2 linked regions of the Canis lupus familiaris genome follow. The protein of the gene in region 2 purifies or fractionates together with the protein of the main gene of each other region. This does not show direct contact. Links are inferred from orthologs where the notes say so. Each region holds a gene or a part of one and is shown on either strand. Other genes may lie near its edges. The genes, in order: CETN2 and FBXL13.

Region 1 (4,526 bases), on a different chromosome or scaffold from region 2:
GAAAAGATGCTCAACATCACTCATCACTAGGGAAATGCAAATAAAAACTACAATGAGACATCCCCTCAGCTGCCAGAATGGCGAAAATCAACAACACAAAAAATAGCAGGTGCTGGCAAGGATGTGGAGAAAGGGGAACCGTCTCCCGGTGTTGGTGCGAATGCAACCTGTGCAGCCACTGCGTAAAACAGTATGGAGGTTCGTCAAAAAATTGAAAATAGAACTACTCTCATGATCTAGTAATTGCACTACTGTTACTCAAAGAACACAAATACAAATTCAAAGGGATACATGCACACTGATGTTTGTAGCAGCATTGTTCATGATAGCTAAGATATGCAAGCAGCCCAAGTGTCCATCAACAGATGAGTGGATAAAGGAGATGTGGGGTGTGTGTGTATGTGTGTGCGTGTGTGGGGAATACCATCCAGCCATAAAAAATGAAACCTTGCCATTTGCATTGACATGGATGGGGCTAGAGAATATTATGGCAAGTGAAATGTCAGAGAAAGACAAATACCATATGATTTCATTCATATGTAGAATTTAAGAAACAAAATAAATGAACATGGGGGGGGGGGTGAAGAGAGGCCAACCAAGAAACAGACTCTTAACTACAGAGAACACACTGATGGTGACCAGAGGGGAGGTGGGGGGGGGAATACGTTACATTGGTGATGGGAAATAAAGACTGCACTTATCATGATTAAAGAAAACAAAAGAAATTTAACAGAGTTTTATAAAAGAACAGTCTCCAGGCACCCCTCACACTTTCAAAACTCTTGTGTGACTTTGCTCAGTGTCTCCGCCCGAGTGGGTGTCAAAAAGTACATTTTGATGACCTCTCCCCTCATGCTCAGTCATATCTGTTTCACTCCCTCAAAACTCCCCCTCAAAGGGAGAGCCTCAGCGGGATTCGGTTTCTAAGTCGCAGCTGTCCACACCTCCTCGACACTCCCATTCCCTTCTCTGGCTCTGCTGTCCCTTGAGCACAGTCTCTGCTCTGACCCTCAAGGTCACGGTCTTCTCTGGCCCCTCTTTCCAAATTCAGTCTTAAGCCAGACCAGAAAGCCCCCAACCGGAAGGCCCCACCCAGCCCCCTACCCTCCCACCCAGTAGCGGATAGAAGGCAGCCTCCGAGGGTGAGGTCGTGACCCTTACCCGTCCGTAGGCGACCCCCCGGCCAGCCTCCGCGCGCCCTCAGCTTGCACCCAAAGGCCTCGGGCCGCTGGCGGTCACCCTTTTCTCCCCACCAGCATGAGCCGAGGATCGGCCGAGATGCCTCCGCCAAGGGGATTGGCTCAGCTCGGCGCCGGCTCAGCCAATCGGCGCTCACAATGTGATCCTGTCCAATGAGGCCAGGCCTCGGCTGTGAAAGCACAGCCCCCTTGCCCTGGGCCTGGCCTTTGTCCGCTTAGCCCCACCCACCACGGCTCCCCGCCAATGGGGAGCAGCGGCGGCGAGCGGGCTGCCAATGGGGAGCGGAGCCGCGCGCGCGGGGCGGTGGGAAAGGCGCCGAGTCAGTGTGTACGTCGGTTGCCGTAACAACGGTCCGCGGAGTCCATCGGCAATGGTGAGTGGGGGCCGCCCTTTGGTGCCCCGCGGCCAGGGGCTGAGCCCTTCTCAGGCTTCGTGTGGCCCTGCCGTCGCTCCCGCGCCGCTCTCGGCTTTGGAGTGCCCCTACTTCCTCTCGGCTAGTTCCCGGAAGGGTAGGGTAGAGACGTCGGCCGCCACCTGGGCCTGCGGTCCTGCGCCGCCTCCCCTTCGTTCAGTCTGCGCCCACCCATCCCTCGGGCGCGCGTGGCCTTCCCCTGCCAGCCCCCGCGTGACTGCCCCTGGTCAAAGAATACTCGGGTTACCCGCAGGCTCTGACCTCTCAGACCCTGACCTCCTGGTCGCTTCGTGCTACCAAAGTTTACCCACAGACCTGGGAGGAGGTTTATTATGTTTGATTGTTAACGTGCATTCTGAATAAATACAGGGATCTTTCGGGAGACGTTTTGATCTAATTAAAGTAGGCACAGACCTGCCTAGTGGATGGAATTTTATTATACACCTTAGCAAAGTAGTAATATTGGGCCAAATGTAGAAGTAATCACAAAGTTGGAGTACAGAGAGGAGGAATACTGCGAGCCAATGTTGTAAGGGCTTTTCTTGAATTAGGATCGCCAAATTCAAGGACAGCTGATCATCTGTACAGTTATCCACAGTCAGCTCCTTGGCTGGATCTCTTTGGGGATGATTTTCAATAAGAGATGTGCAAAGGAACACGGGATCTCCTTGCTTCTACAAAGAATAGGAAAAAAGAAGGAGGGATAGCGGTGCACGGAAAGATTGTTGTTTCAAGTAAAGCCCTGTTATCTCTCCTATTAAGCAAAGCTGTGGAATTGCTTGGTGTAAATATTTTATGTAAATATTTGTAACTATTTTATGTAAAATATGGATTGCATCACTTAATATCGTACTTCTGTGTTTGTAAAACACCTAAAGGCCTCTAACTTTAAGAAGGCAAGCATGGCATCATCTGCCCAACGAAAAAGGATGAGTCCTAAGCCGGAGCTGACTGAAGAGCAGAAACAGGAAATCCGGGAAGCTTTTGATCTCTTTGATGCTGATGGAACTGGGACCATAGACGTAAAGGAACTTAAGGCAAGCCCTTTACATTCCCACTGTACTGCCTTCCTTTCCTCTACTTCTTTCTCTTCTTTCCTTGTCACTGCTCTACCCCTTTTGCCCTCTTTTCCCTGCAAAAAGTTTTCCTGTTTTTCTCTTCTCCTGTCTTTATTTACCTCAAGTGTTATAAAATAAAATTGAGCACAAATATCAATCTGCATAACGCTATAGTGTTTCCCAGTCATTTTAACATGATTGTGTCAGATGCTGGCCTCATGCTCTCACTGTCATTTTTGTTCCTGCCAGGTTTTGATGTGCATATTGACATGATCCTGTTTTCATTGTAGGTGGCAATGAGGGCACTGGGCTTTGAACCCAAAAAAGAAGAGATCAAAAAAATGATAAGTGAAATCGATAAGGAAGGGACAGGAAAAATGAACTTTAGTGACTTCTTGACTGTGATGACTCAGAAAATGGTAAGTTACTAGGATAATCAGCCTATTTTCCACCCATATTGGTGAACAAATTTGAATCTAGATATAAAAATGTCTTCACTGAAGAAAGGTTAATACCAACTGGAGGGTTCTGCTGAAAAAGGGCAGTACTTATGACTGACAGGATGCTTAGGTTCTATCTGGCTCTCTTCAAGGCCACAGAATCACAGGAAAAGTCAGTTTACCCTTTGAGTAAGAGAACTGCTGTCACTCTTTTGTGATTATTTTTTTCCAACTGATGTGTTAACGTGCTGACCACAAGCAGTAAAACCTGTAAACACCAGCAATATTGCACTGCCTGACAATATGAAATGCCTATACTTTAAAGGTCAAAATTCTTTTCTCTCTCGTTTCTGATTCTGGGCGGCTCTAGCCTGAGGGCGGGTGACTTCTGACAGCTGTGTTTTCCACTACACTGGGAATTTGGCCTTTCAGCACTTTCATTTTTTTTCTTTTTTTCTGATTTTATTTTTTATTTTTTTATTTTTATTTTTTGGAGTTCGATTTGCCAACATATAGTATAACACCCAGTGCTCATCCCGCCAAGTGCCCCTCTCAGTGCCCATCACCCAGTCACCCCAACCCCCCGCCTACCGCCCCTTCCACTACCCCTGTTCATTTCCCAGAATTAGGTGTCTCTCATGTTTTGTCACCCTCACTGATATTTTCACTCATTTTCTCTCCTTTCCCTTTATTCCCTTTTGTTAACTTTTATATTCCCCAAGTGAATGAGACCATATAATGTTTGTCCTTTTCCAATTGACTTACTTCACTCAGCATAATACCCTCCAGTTCCATCCATGTTGAAGCAAATAGTGGGTATTTGTCGTTTCTAACGGCTGAGGAATATTCCATTGTATACATAGACCACATCTTGTCTATCCATCCATCTTTCGATGGATACCGAGGCTCCTTCCACAGTTTGGCTATTGTGGGCATTGCTGCTGTAAACATCGGGGTGCAGGTGTCCCAGCGTTTCACTGCATCCTTTCAGCACTTTCAAGGTTGAAGTCACCCATTCCCTAGTGCCTCACTTGTCCCCATTTTATTTTTTAAAATTTTATTTATTTATTCATGAGACACACACACACACACACACACACACACACACACACACAGAGGCAGAGACACAGAGGGAGAAGCAGGCTCCATGCAGGATCAGGCCCTGGGCTGAAGGCGGCACTAAACCACTGAGCCACCGGGGCTGCCCACGTGTCCCCATTTTAAAGGATCCAGAGGATCAAGAAAGACTATAATATGTCACTTGAACAATCCACCTCACTCCCCTGAGTGTCCTCCCACCCAGGATGTATGTTTATGTTCCCCTTGGGCCATTACTTTTTTGATGGCTTTTGGCTCCTCTTTTGTGTGGCTTGTCTATGCTCAACTGGCCTGTGGAAAAGTAACTCCTTGTGTGTC
Region 2 (4,572 bases):
AAATGACTTTTAAAAAGCTAAGTAACCGTCTTGCCAGTTTACATGTAAGAAAGTCATTCTTAGGGGCTTTTGGGGTCATCTATGTGAAATGTAAACATCAAAAGATGGAGCGCAGACCCCTAAGTTTAGCCTTGGCGCCTGGCTCCACGTGGTAACCACCTGCTCATCATAAAGATCCCGAGAAGTCTTATTTTCCTCTGGATCAAGGCAATTAGCTAACAGCGATAGCCACCCCGATTACCAGCGAATTTAGGATGGACTCTGTGTGAATGGTGCTGTCAAGCCCTCTTGAGGACAAGTTCCTGTTTATCTTCAGAACATGCAGAGATGACACGAAACAGACTTTATCCGCCAGATACACGAAGTGAAGACACGTGTGTCTTCTCAATCCCATCAGCTGATCGCCTGTGATGGGCACGGCAATCTGGAGTCGCGCTTATTCAACAATAAAGCTTTAGTTCTTTCCTCCATTTGTAGGGAGGAGTTTCTTGGTTGGCATCCGTGACCCGCACTATCCTAGAACACCCAGCAAATCCTCGGAATCCCGATGCACCACCGGCTTTGGGGCAGCAACCACCCCGGCGCTGGGTCGCGGGGGGTCGCGGGGGGGGCGCCCCCAGCTCCCCGCGCGGGCAGCTGCTTCCATCCGCGGCCCCGGGACCTCCGCAACCTCGTAACCGAACCGCAGGGAGTCCCCGGGCCTCCGCGCCGCGGCGGGGCCCCCGCCCTCCTTCCTCAGGGGCGGCCGCAGGCACCACCGCACCTTCCGCGGCGGGTCCTGACCCTGAGGGGCAACCCACGCGCTTCTGAGAAACCACCCAATCCTCCGCGGGGACGCCGCCCTCAGCCAGGAAAATCCGGGCGTTTTTACCCCGGGATTTTGGACGAGGTGGACGCAGGCGGCAGCTCAGAGCCCCAGCGAGGGGGCCGTCGTCCGTGCCCCCGCCCCCGCCCCCCGCCCCGGCCACCTGCCGGGCACCCCGTGGCCTCACCTGCCGAGCGCGAGGGGCGCAGCCGAAGCCCGCGGGCGCCTCGCCGCCGGCCCCGCGCCAGCTTGTAAATGTAGTAGCAGGCACCGGCCCCGAGGACCAGGCCCGCCGCCACCCAGCCCACGTCCCGGGCGCCGCCCATGCTGCCCTGGGGCCGGGGCGCTGCGCTGGGCCTGGCGCGCGAGGCGGGGAGCCGCGGATCCCGCCTCAGCCCGAGCGCCGGCGCCGGGAGGACACAGGAAATGGGGCCCGAGCCCCGCCTCCCGGAAACGGCCCTGCTGACACGGAGGGACCGCCCACTGCGCCCCGAGCGGCCCGGCGGGGCGGCAGGGGCGGAGCGGGGGCGGGGCCGGAGCGAGGGGGCGGAGCTAGGGCGGAGCTCCGCGAGGAGGCGCAGGGACCGCGCGCACCGAGGGGACTCACTGGGGGACGCGGTCCCCGTCCAGAGGTGGGCTTCCCCTCGCTCCCGCCCGGGCTCGGGCCCGCCTCCACGCCCGGCGGCTCTCCTCGGCTCCCGGCGGCTCCCGGCGGCTCGCGGCGGCGGGGGCGGGGGGCTCCGGGGCCGCGCCCGCCCCGCCCCGCGGTTGCCAGGGCAACGCCGGGACGCGCTAGCGGGCGCGGGGCGCGGAGTCTGGGGGGCCCCGGTCATGGCCTCGCTGCGCACCGCCGACTCCCGGCTGAGGAGCTACTTCAAGGAGAATTACATTCCTCAGGTGTGCGAGGTACTGGAGCCCGCGGCGGCGGCGGCGTTAGAGCAGCGGAGCCCGAAGACGTCCGGGAGGAGGGGCGGGGGTTGGGCCCGGCCGGGAGCCGGGGGCGGAGAGGGCAGGCGGCGCGGCGCCCGGGGCGGACCGGCTCGGAGGCCAGAGCACGGGGCGCGGGGCCCGGGACAGGAACCGCGAGCCCCGCACTTAAGGTCTGGGCAAGAGGCCCGGGGCCGCAGGAGGATGCGCAAGTGGTCGGGAGAGCGAGCGGGCAGCGGCGGGCCCCGGGGGAGGCGGAGCCTGGGGGCGCCAGGCGGCAGGCCCCGACCCCACAGCCCGACCCTGCCTGACCAGGGGCCCCTCCCCCCGTCGTTACAGCAGGAAGGACTGGAGAGGCCCGGCGGGTTTTGTAGGTTTGGGGATTAGGAAAGCAAGACCCGGTGACTGCCATTTTCTCGACAAAGATTTGGTGAGACGTATGCTAAGCCGTGCGTGTTTGCGCGGGTTTGGAGGCTGCAGAAGGGGTCTGAGCAGAGACACGTGTGTGGAGACTGAGGGGGAGAGAAGTCTGGGGAAAGAGACGAGGAGAGCCCGGCAGCCCTGAGAGCCCAGCTTGCGAAAGTGACTGCTGTGCACTTGGGAGGGCAGTTCGGTGCAGCCTTTTTGAATGGTTAATTTAAATTTATTAAATGTTGACTACATATAGCCTTTGACCAAACATTTCACTTCTAGGGATCCACTGGAGAGATAGGCTTTCACGTGTATCCAGAAAGCTGTCCGAGGATATTCATTATGGTGAAAATAGTAAATAACTTCTATATGAATAAGGGAATGAGATAGTATATAAAGTATGTGTATACCTTTTGAGAAGAAAAGCTCTCCAAGACATAGTTTAAAAGAAGAAGAAAAATGCAAGTTGCCCCAGAAGTGTCTCCTACAATGTAGCTACTGTGATTTCCTTTTTTTTCTTATTTTAAAGATTTTATTTATTTATTCACGAGAGACTCAGAGAGAGGCAGAGGGAGAAGCAGGCTCCATGCAGGGAGCCGGATGTGGGACTCGATCCTGGGACTCTAGGATCACGCCCTGGGCGGAAGGCAGGCACTAAACCGCTGAGCCACCCAGGGATCCCTACTGTGATTTCCTATGTCTGTGTGTAGCGACGTTTAAGACAATAATAATGCATGCATAGAACATATGCAAAACTATTAATAGCAAATGTTTGGGGGGAATGCTTTTAGGAGAGAACCCTAATTTTCTTTGCTGTGTATACTTGTGTATTGTTTTACTTTTTTTCTGCTGAGTCTCATTCATGTTTTACTTCTACACGATTATATTTCAAAATATGTAGAGAGCATGGCACTCATCTTCCCCAGGGTGTAGTTTTTCTTTCTTTTCTTCTTCTTTTTTTTTTTTTTTTAAGATTTTATTTATTTATTCATGACAGACACACACACACACACAGAGGCAGAGACACAGGCAGAGGGAGAAGCAGGCTCCATGCAGGGAGCCCAACGTGGGACTCAATCCCAGGTCTCCAGGATCATACCTCAGGCTGAAGGTGGCACTAAACCGCTGGGCCATCAGAGCTGCCCTGGTTTTCCTTAAGTAGCAGTCAGTAAACCCAATAGAGGTACAGAAATAAGATTGACTTCATCCAGGAGAGGTGTTGGCCAGGCATATAGTGTGGAGGGGCAGCGGGGAAGGAGCTAAGCTTTTTAGGGTACCTGAGTGATGGGCCAAGGGACTGGGTATGAGGTGAGAATGGGACCGGATATGATACATGGGTAGAAAGTGGAGGTTCCTAAGGAGTAAAGAGGATTAGCAGGAGTAACTGAGTGTGGGAGCTGGAAAAATAGGAGGGTAGGGGTCCGAAAGTGGAATATTTGGGTTTAAGATTTAGATCACTCAGAATAGCTGCGATGACCCTGTCTTGGTTGGCTGTGAGATACATAGCAGAAAGTGGGCTCGAGCTGAGGGTCCGGGAGCATCAGAGAAGTGATAGCCTTTCCTCACCTTGCTCTCCACTTCCCATAAGCTGGTAGAGGCATCCCTGGTTCCTCCTTTGGGTGAGAGCACCCTAGCCCACCAGCCTACCACATTGCTTTGCTCCCAGAGAAGGGGAGCCCTCAGAAGTGCCCTTCACTGAAGGCGATATTCTCATGAGCCCTTCCGTCACTTCTGACCACGTTACCAGCGGGGCAAGAGAGCAGGCTTCTGGGAGCCCCGCTCCCTCCTTAGCCTGGTTACCCACTTCCCCTAAAGGACTATCAGGATGAACCCGTTGAGCCTCATATCCCTACACAGCTACTCATCTGACCCGATTCAACAGGACTAGCAATCCTCTAAAACCCATCTTCGGCAAGCTTTGGAATACATACATTTTTTTTTTTTTTTTTTTAAATCAGGACTTCCCTGCATATTTAACCTCGTCTGAATTTCGCCCGCCTATCCTGAATAAAACCTGGATGTCATTTCCCTGCAAACCCCTGCATAGAGGCTGATTTAAAGAAAACAAACAAACCACAAAACACAACCCTGCTTGACTTATTGGGTTACTGATTCTATTGATTGATATTTTCCATCAGTTTTAGAAAATTTTTGATCATTTTCAAATAATGCTTCTACCCAATTCTCCTTTCTCTTTCTGGGACTGCAATCGTAATTATGTTAGTTTTTCCCCACCCCCTGCTCTGTTTTTTCCTTATTTTTCTCTTTGTGCTCAAGTTTGGATATTTTTCATGATTGTCTTCAAATTTATTGATTCTGTTTTATGCTGTGTCCAGGATATTGTTAATAAGTATATCAAATGAATTCTTAATTTCAAACAGTATATTTTTCAGTTTTAGAATATCAGCCGATTCTATTTTACACATTCT

Evidence for each region.
Region 1: the proteins of FBXL13 (region 2) and CETN2 purify together in Homo sapiens (affinity purification with mass spectrometry; 3 studies listed by BioGRID and IntAct, counting the BioPlex papers as one, with this or other methods). This does not show direct contact. The link is inferred for Canis lupus familiaris from reciprocal best matches to the Homo sapiens genes FBXL13 and CETN2.

The regions. Positions count from the first base shown.
Region 1 is NC_049260.1:122,023,523-122,028,048, reverse strand, and holds the start of CETN2 (centrin-2), read left to right. Parts: upstream 1-1,434; 5' UTR 1,435-1,474; coding exon 1,475-1,573; intron 1,574-2,490; coding exon 2,491-2,649; intron 2,650-2,960; coding exon 2,961-3,089; intron 3,090-4,526. UniProt on the Homo sapiens protein: Plays a fundamental role in microtubule organizing center structure and function. Required for centriole duplication and correct spindle formation. Has a role in regulating cytokinesis and genome stability via cooperation with CALM1 and CCP110.
Region 2 is NC_049239.1:17,297,590-17,302,161, forward strand, and holds the start of FBXL13 (dynein regulatory complex subunit 6), read left to right. Parts: upstream 1-1,583; 5' UTR 1,584-1,636; coding exon 1,637-1,711; intron 1,712-4,572. Other genes in the region: ARMC10 (armadillo repeat-containing protein 10), read right to left, coding at 993-1,131. UniProt on the Homo sapiens protein: Substrate-recognition component of the SCF (SKP1-CUL1-F-box protein)-type E3 ubiquitin ligase complex.